3 linked regions of the Arabidopsis thaliana genome follow. The protein of the gene in region 1 interacts with the protein of each later gene in a pairwise test. Each region holds a gene or a part of one and is shown in the gene's direction. Other genes may lie near its edges.

Evidence for each region.
Region 2: the proteins of SGT1A (region 1) and AT1G68185 interact in a two-hybrid assay, tested with the Arabidopsis thaliana proteins (one study listed by BioGRID).
Region 3: the proteins of SGT1A (region 1) and SRFR1 interact in a two-hybrid assay, tested with the Arabidopsis thaliana proteins (2 studies listed by BioGRID).

What each region holds. Positions count from the first base shown.
Region 1 is NC_003075.7:12,297,818-12,301,573, forward strand, and holds the start of SGT1A (phosphatase-like protein), read left to right. Parts: upstream 1-2,060; 5' UTR 2,061-2,197; coding exon 2,198-2,357; intron 2,358-2,932; coding exon 2,933-3,005; intron 3,006-3,192; coding exon 3,193-3,317; intron 3,318-3,465; coding exon 3,466-3,568; intron 3,569-3,642; coding exon 3,643-3,739; intron 3,740-3,756. UniProt on the Arabidopsis thaliana protein: Functions in R gene-mediated resistance, but participates in a lower extent than SGT1B to RPP5-mediated resistance. Not required for RPM1, RPS2, RPS4 and RPS5-mediated resistance.
Region 2 is NC_003070.9:25,554,227-25,557,982, forward strand, and holds the start of AT1G68185 (Ubiquitin-like superfamily protein), read left to right. Parts: upstream 1-2,156; 5' UTR 2,157-2,177; coding exon 2,178-2,318; intron 2,319-2,432; coding exon 2,433-2,508; intron 2,509-2,596; coding exon 2,597-2,655; intron 2,656-2,849; coding exon 2,850-2,980; intron 2,981-3,116; coding exon 3,117-3,327; intron 3,328-3,756. Other genes in the region: UMAMIT23 (nodulin MtN21 /EamA-like transporter family protein), read left to right, coding at 1-32; AT1G68180 (RING/U-box superfamily protein), read left to right, coding at 590-1,274, 1,377-1,399.
Region 3 is NC_003075.7:17,614,097-17,617,852, reverse strand, and holds the start of SRFR1 (Tetratricopeptide repeat (TPR)-like superfamily protein), read left to right. Parts: upstream 1-1,906; 5' UTR 1,907-2,318; coding exon 2,319-2,446; intron 2,447-2,555; coding exon 2,556-2,665; intron 2,666-2,929; coding exon 2,930-3,612; intron 3,613-3,703; coding exon 3,704-3,748; intron 3,749-3,756. Other genes in the region: KAI2 (alpha/beta-Hydrolases superfamily protein), read left to right, coding at 364-808. UniProt on the Arabidopsis thaliana protein: Negative regulator of effector-triggered immunity associated with the EDS1 resistance pathway. May localize its interactors to a microsomal membrane. May therefore negatively regulate RPS4 and SNC1 translocation to the nucleus.

The sequences.
Region 1 (3,756 bases):
TTATTACTTTACATGTTTTTTTTGTTTAAAGCATTGTCATATTTATTGTCATTATGAAACCCAAAATGAAAGGAGTTAATTAGAGATCATTGTTTTCATCTAGAGCAGAGCTCTGAAACTGGAACCAATTATTTGGAGTCTTGATGCAAATTCATGTAGCCTTGGAGCTCTGAAATTGTTCTTCTATATGTTTGCTGATCAAATTGTTAAAATAATGGTGAGACTGAGACTCATGGTTTAAATACTAGCAAAAATGGTAAATTTAAAATCCCCCTTAGCCACGGACCTTGAGCAAAGAGTCTAGTGTATGTGTCTATATATGGTTCACCTTTTGGATAAGAAATCAATTTCAAGCTCATCTTTCTACATAGAGAGAAACTTGGATCTTGTACTTTTTAAGATGGAAACATCCATAAAAAGGTAAAGATAAAGCTGATATGGCAAAACGCCAACAAAATCCTACAAGTAAATAAATCTTGGGCCAACTTTAATGTTCCTAAAAGAAATGAACTTAGCTACAAAGTTACTAGTCACGTCTCTGCTGCCAAAATTCTTGACACATTCTTTACACTTCTTCGAACAAAGAGAATGGTTTGATCCACAAAGGATGCAATGCGCACCGCTTCCACAACATTTGATCTGTGGCATAAATCAATCTTGCACCATAAGGGCTTGAAACTTTCAGCTTTTGCCACTAACACTCTAACGCAAACTTGTGTTAGACTGCAACCAAATGAAATATTTGAGAAGCACCAGATCCATTAACAGCAACTATGAGCCCATTACAATGATTTGCCTCCATCAGTGTCTTGGATCGCTAACACTATCCAATAACCAGCCTAGCTGGTACTTAGACAGAATTTTTTTTTCTTCTGGATCTGTGAAAATAAATGTAACATGAGCCATTGACTAAGATCTAGCTCTAATTAACTCAGTCAAAACGACGATCAAAAGATTGAACTATTGGAAATGGAAGGGGCCGCGCGAACGCAGGCCCCCAAGGCAACAAATAATGACGCAGGATCTCCCACTTGGGGTGACCTTTGGCTTAGCGCACCTCAAGTGCAGGAAGCCACCAGCCTAGGCCACGGATCTTCATGATCACCCGTAAACCCCGTCCAGGTAAGTAATTTGCAATCCTCGACCATCTTCTTTATTTATACTATGCTACACACGAGTGCCCATCCTCAAACTTCCGATGAGGGAGCATCAACATTATCTCGTATCTACTATAGGCAGGCTTTCGTTGTTTGATTAGCCCAAGTTTTATTTCTTGATAGGCCGCAATGTCTATATTCCGGTCCAAATCAAACCCAACAGATTTTTTTTTTGTCGGCTATTTGTCACAGATTTCTTTTTATATACGAGGAACAAGGTTAATTATATTGAACTAAACATTAAAAAAAAAAAAGAATTTTACAGATGCAGGTTGATATTTAACGTTATTGTGGGTCAACTCAACTCATAAGCAAAGTTGATATGATACTATTTAAATTGACTTCACCACATCCACTTGACACTAATAAATTGACTTCTCCATCCCTATCCACACATATTTGAATCTTCCAATAAGGTTCCACGAAACTGCTAGGAAAACAATATTTTCTAAGGCAATAGTCCCACTTTGGTTAATCATAAAATTGTCAAATCCACTATGTAATTTGTGATCCATAATAAATTAAACCAGTTATTCATCATCTAAGTCAGACACTATTTTAACTCTAGAAAACTTGACAAAGTACATGAAATGTTTTTGAAGTGAAGTAACAAAATTCCAACATGTACAAAATATATATTTTTTTTTTTAAACGAAAATATATACACTAGAGACCTCACCTATTTTTCTTAATAATATCAAATCTCACATATTTGATGTACACACAAAATTAAATTTATAGAAAATGAAATATATTATTTTAGAAAAATAAGGAGAAACTTTGTGGAAAAAATAGAAAAATATTTAAATTATTGTTTTTATAAATTTTATTTTGGGTTCGAACTCTTCAACTCCCTGAACACAAGTCGCATAAAACGAAGGAACAATCTAGAAGAAGAACGATAACATCCAATCTCTCTTTATATTCCTTCCTTCCATTGTGGCAATAAGTAACAAACCTTGCCCTCTACTTCATTCCCTCCTTGTTTTGATTTCATCGTCTTTGTTAGCTCTCCTCTGTTTTTTTTTCTTAGTCAATCGATGGCGAAGGAGCTTGCTGATAAGGCTAAAGAGGCTTTCGTAGACGATGACTTCGATGTTGCTGTTGACTTGTACTCCAAAGCCATTGACTTGGATCCTAATTGCGCTGAGTTCTTCGCTGATCGTGCTCAGGCCTATATCAAACTCGAAAGCTTCACTGGTAGCTTCTTTGTTCTGTTATCTTCGTCTTTTACTGTCGTGGACGCCTTCTGGGGTTCTGGGTTTTTGTATGTTTTCGGTTTCTTACTTCATCATAGCTGAAAGTTGTTGACTTTGCTGGATTATGTGTATTTAGGGTTTCGTTTTGTGTCCTGTCGCTTGATAGTGTCACAATTCTTTTCGAAAGTTTAAAGCTTTCGTATCAATTTGATACTAATGTGTCTCTCTTTTGCTGTTTGTGGAGGAACAATGTATCGGAATTGCTTTCATGAGAAACGAAATTTAGTTATTTGTTATCAGTAGCGAGTGCCCTTTACAAGTTATGCATTCAAACATTGGTTTAAGTTGGTTTTAGCTGTGCTAGTCTTTTGATTCTTTGATTGTGAATATGGAGAATTTTGTTTACAGATAGTGTTAAGTATTAACGGAGTATTGAAAGTTTCAATTTTTGCTTGAGTGATTAGTCTTTAGTTCAACTATTTCTTGCTTTAAGAAAGTATTCTCTGCATTTTTAGCGTAGTATCATAGAACTTTACTAGTTGGATAAGATTTTGGTCTCATTTGATTCTCAATGAGCAGAGGCCGTGGCAGATGCGAACAAAGCAATTGAGTTGGATCCTTCATTGACCAAAGCTTACCTAAGAAAAGGGTAACGTTTTGCTATTTCCTCCTATGTAACATTTTTAAGTCGTATATAAGTTGTAGTGAGAGTTTAATTTTCTCTGATTCCTTAGTCCTTAGATTGTTTTACTACCAGTTTATATGGTCTGCAAATGTGGTATATATCTGTCAAGCTATTACTTCCATTGTTCATGGTTTGGTTTTTGTATTTGTAGAACTGCCTGTATGAAGCTTGAAGAGTATCGGACTGCTAAAACAGCTCTTGAAAAGGGTGCCTCTATCACGCCGAGTGAATCCAAATTTAAGAAGTTGATAGATGAATGCAATTTTCTAATCACAGGTATGTTTTTTGTGTTTTTTTCTTGTTTTCTGGTTGATTATGTTTACATGCCTAGAGTGATTGTATTGTTTGCCATGGTGCAAAATATTTTGTTATGTAATTCACCTAAGGTTTTGATCTATGGAACTTGTAAATATCCTTTTTCCAGAAGAAGAGAAAGATTTGGTTCAACCGGTGCCTTCGACTTTGCCTTCAAGTGTGACAGCACCACCAGTATCTGAACTTGATGTCACCCCTACAGCCAAGTACAGGTAGTTTTATTGTAGAAAACAATACCAAAGTTTTTAAGAATCATTAAATATCTGATATTCTTGAGTGTTAACAGGCACGAGTACTACCAAAAGCCAGAGGAAGTTGTGGTAACTGTTTTTGCAAAAGGAATACCCAAGCAGAATGTTAACATCGACTTTGGTGAACAAATTGTGAGTATAAGGCTCTT
Region 2 (3,756 bases), on another chromosome or scaffold:
ATCTCCCAACATTAAGTACAAATGTCCCTTGATCAACCATCATTTATATATGTTGAACGACTTGTTGTTAGTATATTTGATTAAGTGAATATTAACATTATTATTCTATCTAACGATGATTTATTGAACCATCTATGTAAGTTATTATGTGCATATGACCTTTGTACTACCACATCCACAACTTCATAAGATGTTGCATGGATTTTTTTTAACGAGCAATAATAAATTGTAAAATCTTATTTGGGTCTAATTAATTTCACTTCTGAGTCATACAATATGTACATGAACTAGTAAGTTGGAATGGGCCCATAATGGGCCGCTCAAATAACTCTCCTCCAAACCTAAAACCCTTTATCGTAATTGATTCTCCAAGCATCCTTTTGAATCTCTGATTCCTACAAGACAAATCACTAAAAGATTCGCAAGTTGACATAGCAGAGACCATACGACACCAACCTAAACACAGAAAAGAATAACTCATTCACTCGTATAGGCTTTGTCTTGCCTCTTCTTGAAAACATGTACACGTATTTAATTATAAATGCATATATAAAGATCCTACCGACGAAAAAATAAAAAGATTGAAAACATGACATCTGCTTATCGTCCAAGAGTTATTGTGAATGGAACAAGAAGAACAAGAACGTTCCATTACTTCTATTGTCGCCATTGTAGCCGTACCATTAGGCTAAGAAGCTTTGGTCTATATGGTCCCATATGTCCTTTCTGTTCTAGAGAGATCAATCTTCACGATGAGCTTGACATTATGAGGCCAAGCCGACCTTATTGGGATAGTGATACCGATTGGATCACTCTCCATCTTATCAACGAACCAAGAAGTAACCGGTTCAATCATGATGATCTAGTTTATAATACTGACGAGGAATTCGCTGATGTCATGCCTAGTGTACAAATCGGTCCACCACCAGCCTCGCAATCCGCCATCGAGGCTGTAAGGACGGTGATAATCACGGATGAAGATTTGGTGAAAGAGAAGGTTTGTGCGATATGCAAGGAGGAATTTGAAGTTGGAGAGGAAGGAAAAGAATTGAAATGCTTGCATTTGTACCATTCAAGCTGCATTGTGTCTTGGTTGAACATTCACAACACTTGTCCCATTTGTCGTTTTGAGGTTAACTTAGGTGTTTCCGAGAGTAACGTAGACGAAGGAGGGTCTTACAACATCGACAATGATCGATCAAATCGGTTTCGGACTCGGGTTTGTTCTTTGTGGCCTCTCCGAATGATGATTGATTGGGTACATAATCTCATAGGTAAGATTCCACCTCCCGATATAGCTTTCATGGCTTTTCTATTATGCTTATACGGGTTTTGACTATGATATTTAACTCTTAAAAATATATACAATTTCGCAGATATAAGAATAACAAACTCTTGACAAAAAAAAATTAAAGAATTGCAAACAAGAATGTATGAAACTAGGAATATTATTGACTACATATTAAGTGTATTATGACTTATGAGAGAGAGGAGAAGAAACACACATCAATAAGAAACGACAAAAAAAAACTACATAAAGAGACAAAGAGGGTGATCATGAAAGGCTAGAAGCGTGTTTATTTCATGAAACAAAACTTTGGCATTAACAAGACTATATTTGCATTAATTATCTTTTATTCATTTGTAAGTTGTAACAACATGTAAATAAAAAATCTTGGTAATAAGGTTAGTCCTCTACTCTACTAGCTAGGGTTCCATGATCTCTCATAGTCTCTGAAAACGCTTTGTCTCCCTTTCTTTGTTTCTTTCTCTCTCGTGATCATCGAACACAATTTACTTAGGTATGGTTTGAATAGCCTCACCAACCCTTTTTATTTGCCGGTTATCTTATTTTTGGCCTGATTTTGTAAAGCCGAGTTTGTGCCTTCTCGGTTTGGTTTACTATAACCTTCATGTAGAGCTTCCCATGGACTTCTCTACTAAAGACTTAGGATGAGTCTTGTTGTACCATCTTTTATTGTCATGCATTCAAAAATACCAACAAAATTCTACTAAAGTACAACAGATCTCAAATGACAAATACGCAATCAACTATGATGGTCACCCAACCCAATTAAACCAATCTGAAAAAAAAGTGTGATAACCAATGAAAACTCGGCCCACTAAACAGGCCCAACAAACAAATAATAAACCCAAGAGGTGCTTCTTAATCGCCGATGCCTCTCTTCATCAAAATTCAAAATCACTTTTGTCTTTTCAAAAATCACAGCAAAATAATATTCAAATTCAAAATCTGTCCAAATTCATCTAGGGTTTCTGATAAAACAGACGAAGAAGATCCAAATTCGCTAACAATGGTGAGAATTTTATGAATTCCCAATACCCCAATTTTTAAAACCCTAATTTTGTCTGTTGTGGGATTGTGTTGATGCCTGAGTTTTTCTGAATTTGTATTACTGATTGATGATCAGGGAGGTGAAGGAGAAGATCTAGAGCCACTTTTTGATTATCGTCGTGTTCAGCCAGCGAATTTCGTTTGTATCGATGGTGAGTTTCGATTATTTGATTTGGTCACTGAGCTCGACACTCGACAGTGATAAAGATGAATCCTTTATTATCGCTTGAATTTTTGTAGATGATGATGATGATGCCTCGGTGACGCCAATTCCGAAGAAAGCGAAAACTTCACAAACAGTAAGAATTGATTTTTATTGATTGGTTGTTGTCTCATTGAGCTCTTTGTGTTAACTTGATAGATACTTTTGGTATTGTGGGCTTGTAAAGAGTTTTGAATCAATGTCAGTGAAGGAACAATTCGATTATGTACTTCACAATTCATAGGTTGAATCTATCATCATTCCTTTTGGAACTTGAATCTTTTTATATAGGTTGAGAAGTTAGATGATGATGTGAAAGTGATTGAAGTTACGGGTGATGACGATTGGTTGCTTCCTCCACCAAAGGTTATCTTCGACAAAAGTAAAGACTCTGTTGAAGATTCAACTATTAAAGCATTGAGGTAACTTTTGTATGTCTTTGAGTATTTCTCATCTCTAAGCTTCCCATGTTGCTGTTAGAGGCTATGGTAGTGTTATTTGCTATCCGGAAAGAGTCCCAGTGTTACAATTTGATTATAAATGAAATATGTAACGTAGGTCGAAGAAGATGGAGCTCATGTCATTTACAAAAACTGTAGGAGATGTGATGCAGGAAGTTGAGGAGTCTGCTAAAAGGGAAGTTGAAGAATCTCGCAATCCATCTTCAGAGACTGCTGCTCAGTTACCATCAGAGCCTACGAATGACAGGGCCAAGATTGTTATTACAATACAGGACAAAGATGGACAGAAGACACTCCGGGTGTTTGCGGTAAGTTTTTTCACTGCTTGCCACTTACTATCCAACCTTCCATCGACAATAAGCTTACTATCCAAACTTTTTCTAGCTAGATACTAGATATTTAGTAGAGATAAGAATTAGTTGTTATGTCACCTTCGCTACTATCTAGATAGCTAGATATTTCGAGCTTTCTAGGAAAGCAAGAGTATAAATACAGGGATTAAAGAAATCATTGAATGGGGTCGAGTATTTGAGACGTGTATTAGTTGATGGATCTTTAAACTATTCTTTGAGTTCATCTAATAAACTAGAGAACGAGTTCATGTTCTTATCAATGTATCATCACCACATAGCATTTACACACAGAATACATATTGCTTGCTCTCTGTCATACAATGAGCCGCTCATTAATAGATATGCATATTCTGTTAAAGCTTGTAAAATATGAGAATGTTGATT
Region 3 (3,756 bases), 5.3 Mb from region 1:
AATCATCTTAAGTCCTTAAATTTACACAATTATCTATTATTTCGAAATATTTATTTCTCATTCTGACATAATTTCGACAAAGTGCCTCTTTGTTTATCCTCTTGTCTGAATTATCCTATTTCTCAAAATCAGTGAAGCATTTCATTATATATTTCAATAAAAATCCGTAAATTATGAACAAAAAATCATGAAATACCCATTTGTTTATTTGTTTTTTTTTATTTGGTTTTACTGAGGTGTTACTTACACTTTTTTTAAAAAAAATTGTTGAAACGGTGCTCACACAGTATATTATATATTTTAATTTTCTTCTGACAAAAGAAACATATATAATCAAATTATATTGTTTTGGTACGTTTATAGATACGTAAACGATGTTGATTACCAAGGTGGATTCGAACAAGAAGACTTAAACCAACTATTCGAAGCCATCCGAAGCAACTACAAAGCGTGGTGCTTAGGTTTCGCTCCACTCGCCGTCGGTGGCGACATGGACTCCATCGCCGTTCAAGAATTCAGCAGAACACTCTTCAATATGCGTCCCGACATAGCTCTCTCCGTCGGCCAGACCATTTTCCAAAGTGACATGAGACAGATCTTACCTTTTGTCACTGTTCCGTGTCACATTCTCCAAAGTGTTAAGGACTTAGCTGTACCAGTCGTTGTCTCCGAGTATCTTCACGCCAATCTTGGCTGTGAATCCGTCGTCGAGGTTATTCCTTCTGATGGTCATCTTCCTCAGCTTAGCTCACCAGATTCTGTTATTCCTGTCATCCTCCGTCACATTCGTAATGACATTGCTATGTGATTGTAAGAGATTTAATTAGTTAATTATTAAACGATGTAAGAAAAGTTGAAAAAAAATATCTGATGTGATATGTCTGTCTAGTCTATTGAGAACATTATTTCGTTGTCGTTTGGTTCTGATTCGTTTATCTTGAGTATCTTGATCTTTGTTGTTCTTATCTTGTTTAACGAAAAGTCTCTGTCTTTTGTCCACAGCTTTGCTCAGAGCTCATTATTGCTTGATGTAATAGTGATGTTCGTAATTGATGGTCCATAGTGAATTATTGCAACTTTGCAAGAGTGCTTGTGCTATACTGTGTGAAGAGTAATTAACATGTGATACTAGGAATTAGCATTGAGTTTGCATTTATGGATGGGTAATCCAAACCATAAAACATACATATTGTGATGGTTTTGAAATTTGTTTGTTTGTGAACAAAAATTAGCCAAGTTTTAAACAAAGTAAAATGAAAATTTAGGGTTTTGAATTAGGATGGAGTTAAGTCATATTTTGTTAGGTTTGTTTGCTTATGAAATTATGGATTTGTTTGATGTTATTATAGGGATGCGGTGCAAAAGATATTGTTTTCTATATTATCATTTATCACTAATAACTTTCAAATTTTATTGACGCGCCTGCTCAGATTTTATTCGATTTGTTGTTTATGAAATTAGTTATAGATTGGTAAGTAAATAGCTTTAAAAAATTAGTGATACAAAACAAAATGGTAAATATTGTATTGCTTCTTACTAGTCAATACTATGATTAAACTTCCATTTTATAATTCACTTTATATAAAACTTCTATTTATTTTCTTAAAATTATTTTATTATTGAAATTTAAATATCATTTGGTACAATATTATTTCTTCATCACTAGTCAAATACTATGATTAGCCTACCCAAAAAAAAAGTCAAATACTATGATTAAACTTCCATTTTTTTAAAATTCATTGCAGGTCATACAATTTAAATGTTTACATAGTCATGAAAGAATTGAGAACATATATATACTTCAAATTTGTTCTCCAATACAGTCACACACCTAACTTCAATTTGCTTAGAATTTCTTTGGCAAGACGATTAACAGAGCTAGCCCATTGTAAAAGGGTAATAAATAATAAGTGGGCTAGGCCCATATATACACAACAAAAAGTCACGTGACAAGAAACTTCATACGTGTGCGACTCTTGCCCCAAAATTTGATTAGCACCACTTATTGAGAAGCAGCAGCAGCACCACAAGCACCACCACCAGTATCACATTCACATTCACCATCATCGTCTCTTCGCTCTTATCTCTCCGTTACTTTTTTATTTACTATCTCTCTCTTCCCCGTTACTTTTTTTTCTTCCCCGTTTCGTTCTCCGTCAAAGTCTTCTCTCTTTACCATTTTCTCCACTGTACTAATTTCCCTTTTTACCCCTAAACCCATCGTTCCCGTGACACGACGGCCACGAAGAAGAGGGATAAAATTGAGAAAGATTAAATAGGCGATTGATTTCTCCATCGGAGACACCACCGCTCAAAAAATGGCGACGGCGACGGCGACATCGGAACGATTCGAGTTAGCCAAGCACTGCAGTTCACGGAACTGGTCTAAAGCGATCCGAGTTCTCGATTCGCTCCTTGCTAAGGAGTCTTCAATTTTGGATATATGGTTTGGTTTCGAGATCTTTGTTCTCTCATTCAATTTCTCCGGATCGGTATCAATGATTTTTCTCCCGTTAATCTCAGTATTTTTTTTTGAATTGGGAATTTGGTTTCAGCAATAGAGCGTTTTGTTATAATCAATTGGAGCTTCACAAGCATGTGATTAAGGACTGTGACAAGGCACTTCTGCTTGAACCTTTTGCCATTCAAGCTTTTATTCTCAAAGGTTAGTTCACTTCCAAGCTTTGACTTGAGTGCTTCATAGTTTCTCTGGGAATTGAGTTTGATTCTCGGGATAGCTTCAGAACTAGAATTAGGGGTTTAGATAATGCTATAGTGCCTGCTAGTTATGACGATATAATGGTTGCTTAAGAATATCTGTTAAGTTATATATCTTATCGGGGATGGAATTTTTTATGGTTACCGGATCATGGTTTACTTTGATTGGTATACTGCATGTGAACTCAAGTGTATCAGCTTTTCCATCTAGGACGCGCTCTTTTGGCTTTGGGGAGAAAACAGGAAGCTGTTCTTGTTTTGGAGCAAGGGTATAAAAGTGCGTTGCAGCAGACAGCAGATGTGAAGCAGTTACTTGAATTAGAAGAACTCTTAAAAGATGCAAGACGAGAAATTGATGGGATTTTAAAAAGTCATGCCACCGAGTCTCCGCAAGAGACCCCTGCCTATCATAGTGAGAAGTCTGATGAAAAAAGTGACAAGCTGGACAACCATGAATCAGGAGCAAGTAGCAATGGGAACTCACATGAGTCATCTAGCGAATTGGGCGAGCAATCAAAGATAGTAAGCTTTTCAAAAGTTGCATCCAAGGCTAGCAAGCAATCTGATGGTAATTCCGACTTATGTAACGGATCAGTGTACAAGGAAAAAGAGAATGGAAAGTGTGGCAGCCAAATCAATGGTTATTATGAATCATGTAAACCTTGTAATGGTTCTGATTTGCATGATAATTTAGCTGAAAGTTCCGATCGGTTCGGGGAGCTATCGATTAATGGAAACAAGATAAGTATTAAGTCTAGCAAAATGAGCCATAAAGCTGAGGCACGTTGCGGAATTAGTGATGAATCCAGGAAAAATAAGAAGTACACCATAGCAAGAATATCGGGAACCCATTCCATAAGTGTGGATTTTCGACTTTCTAGAGGCATTGCACAGGTATAGCAATACACAGAAAAAAAGGAAAAGAAAAGAGCTATAAGGTATAGCTTCCAAATTTTTGATGACTGAGCTTCTGTTTTGTCAACAGGTGAATGAAGGAAACTATACGAAAGCTATTTCTATTTTTGATAAGGTGATTTG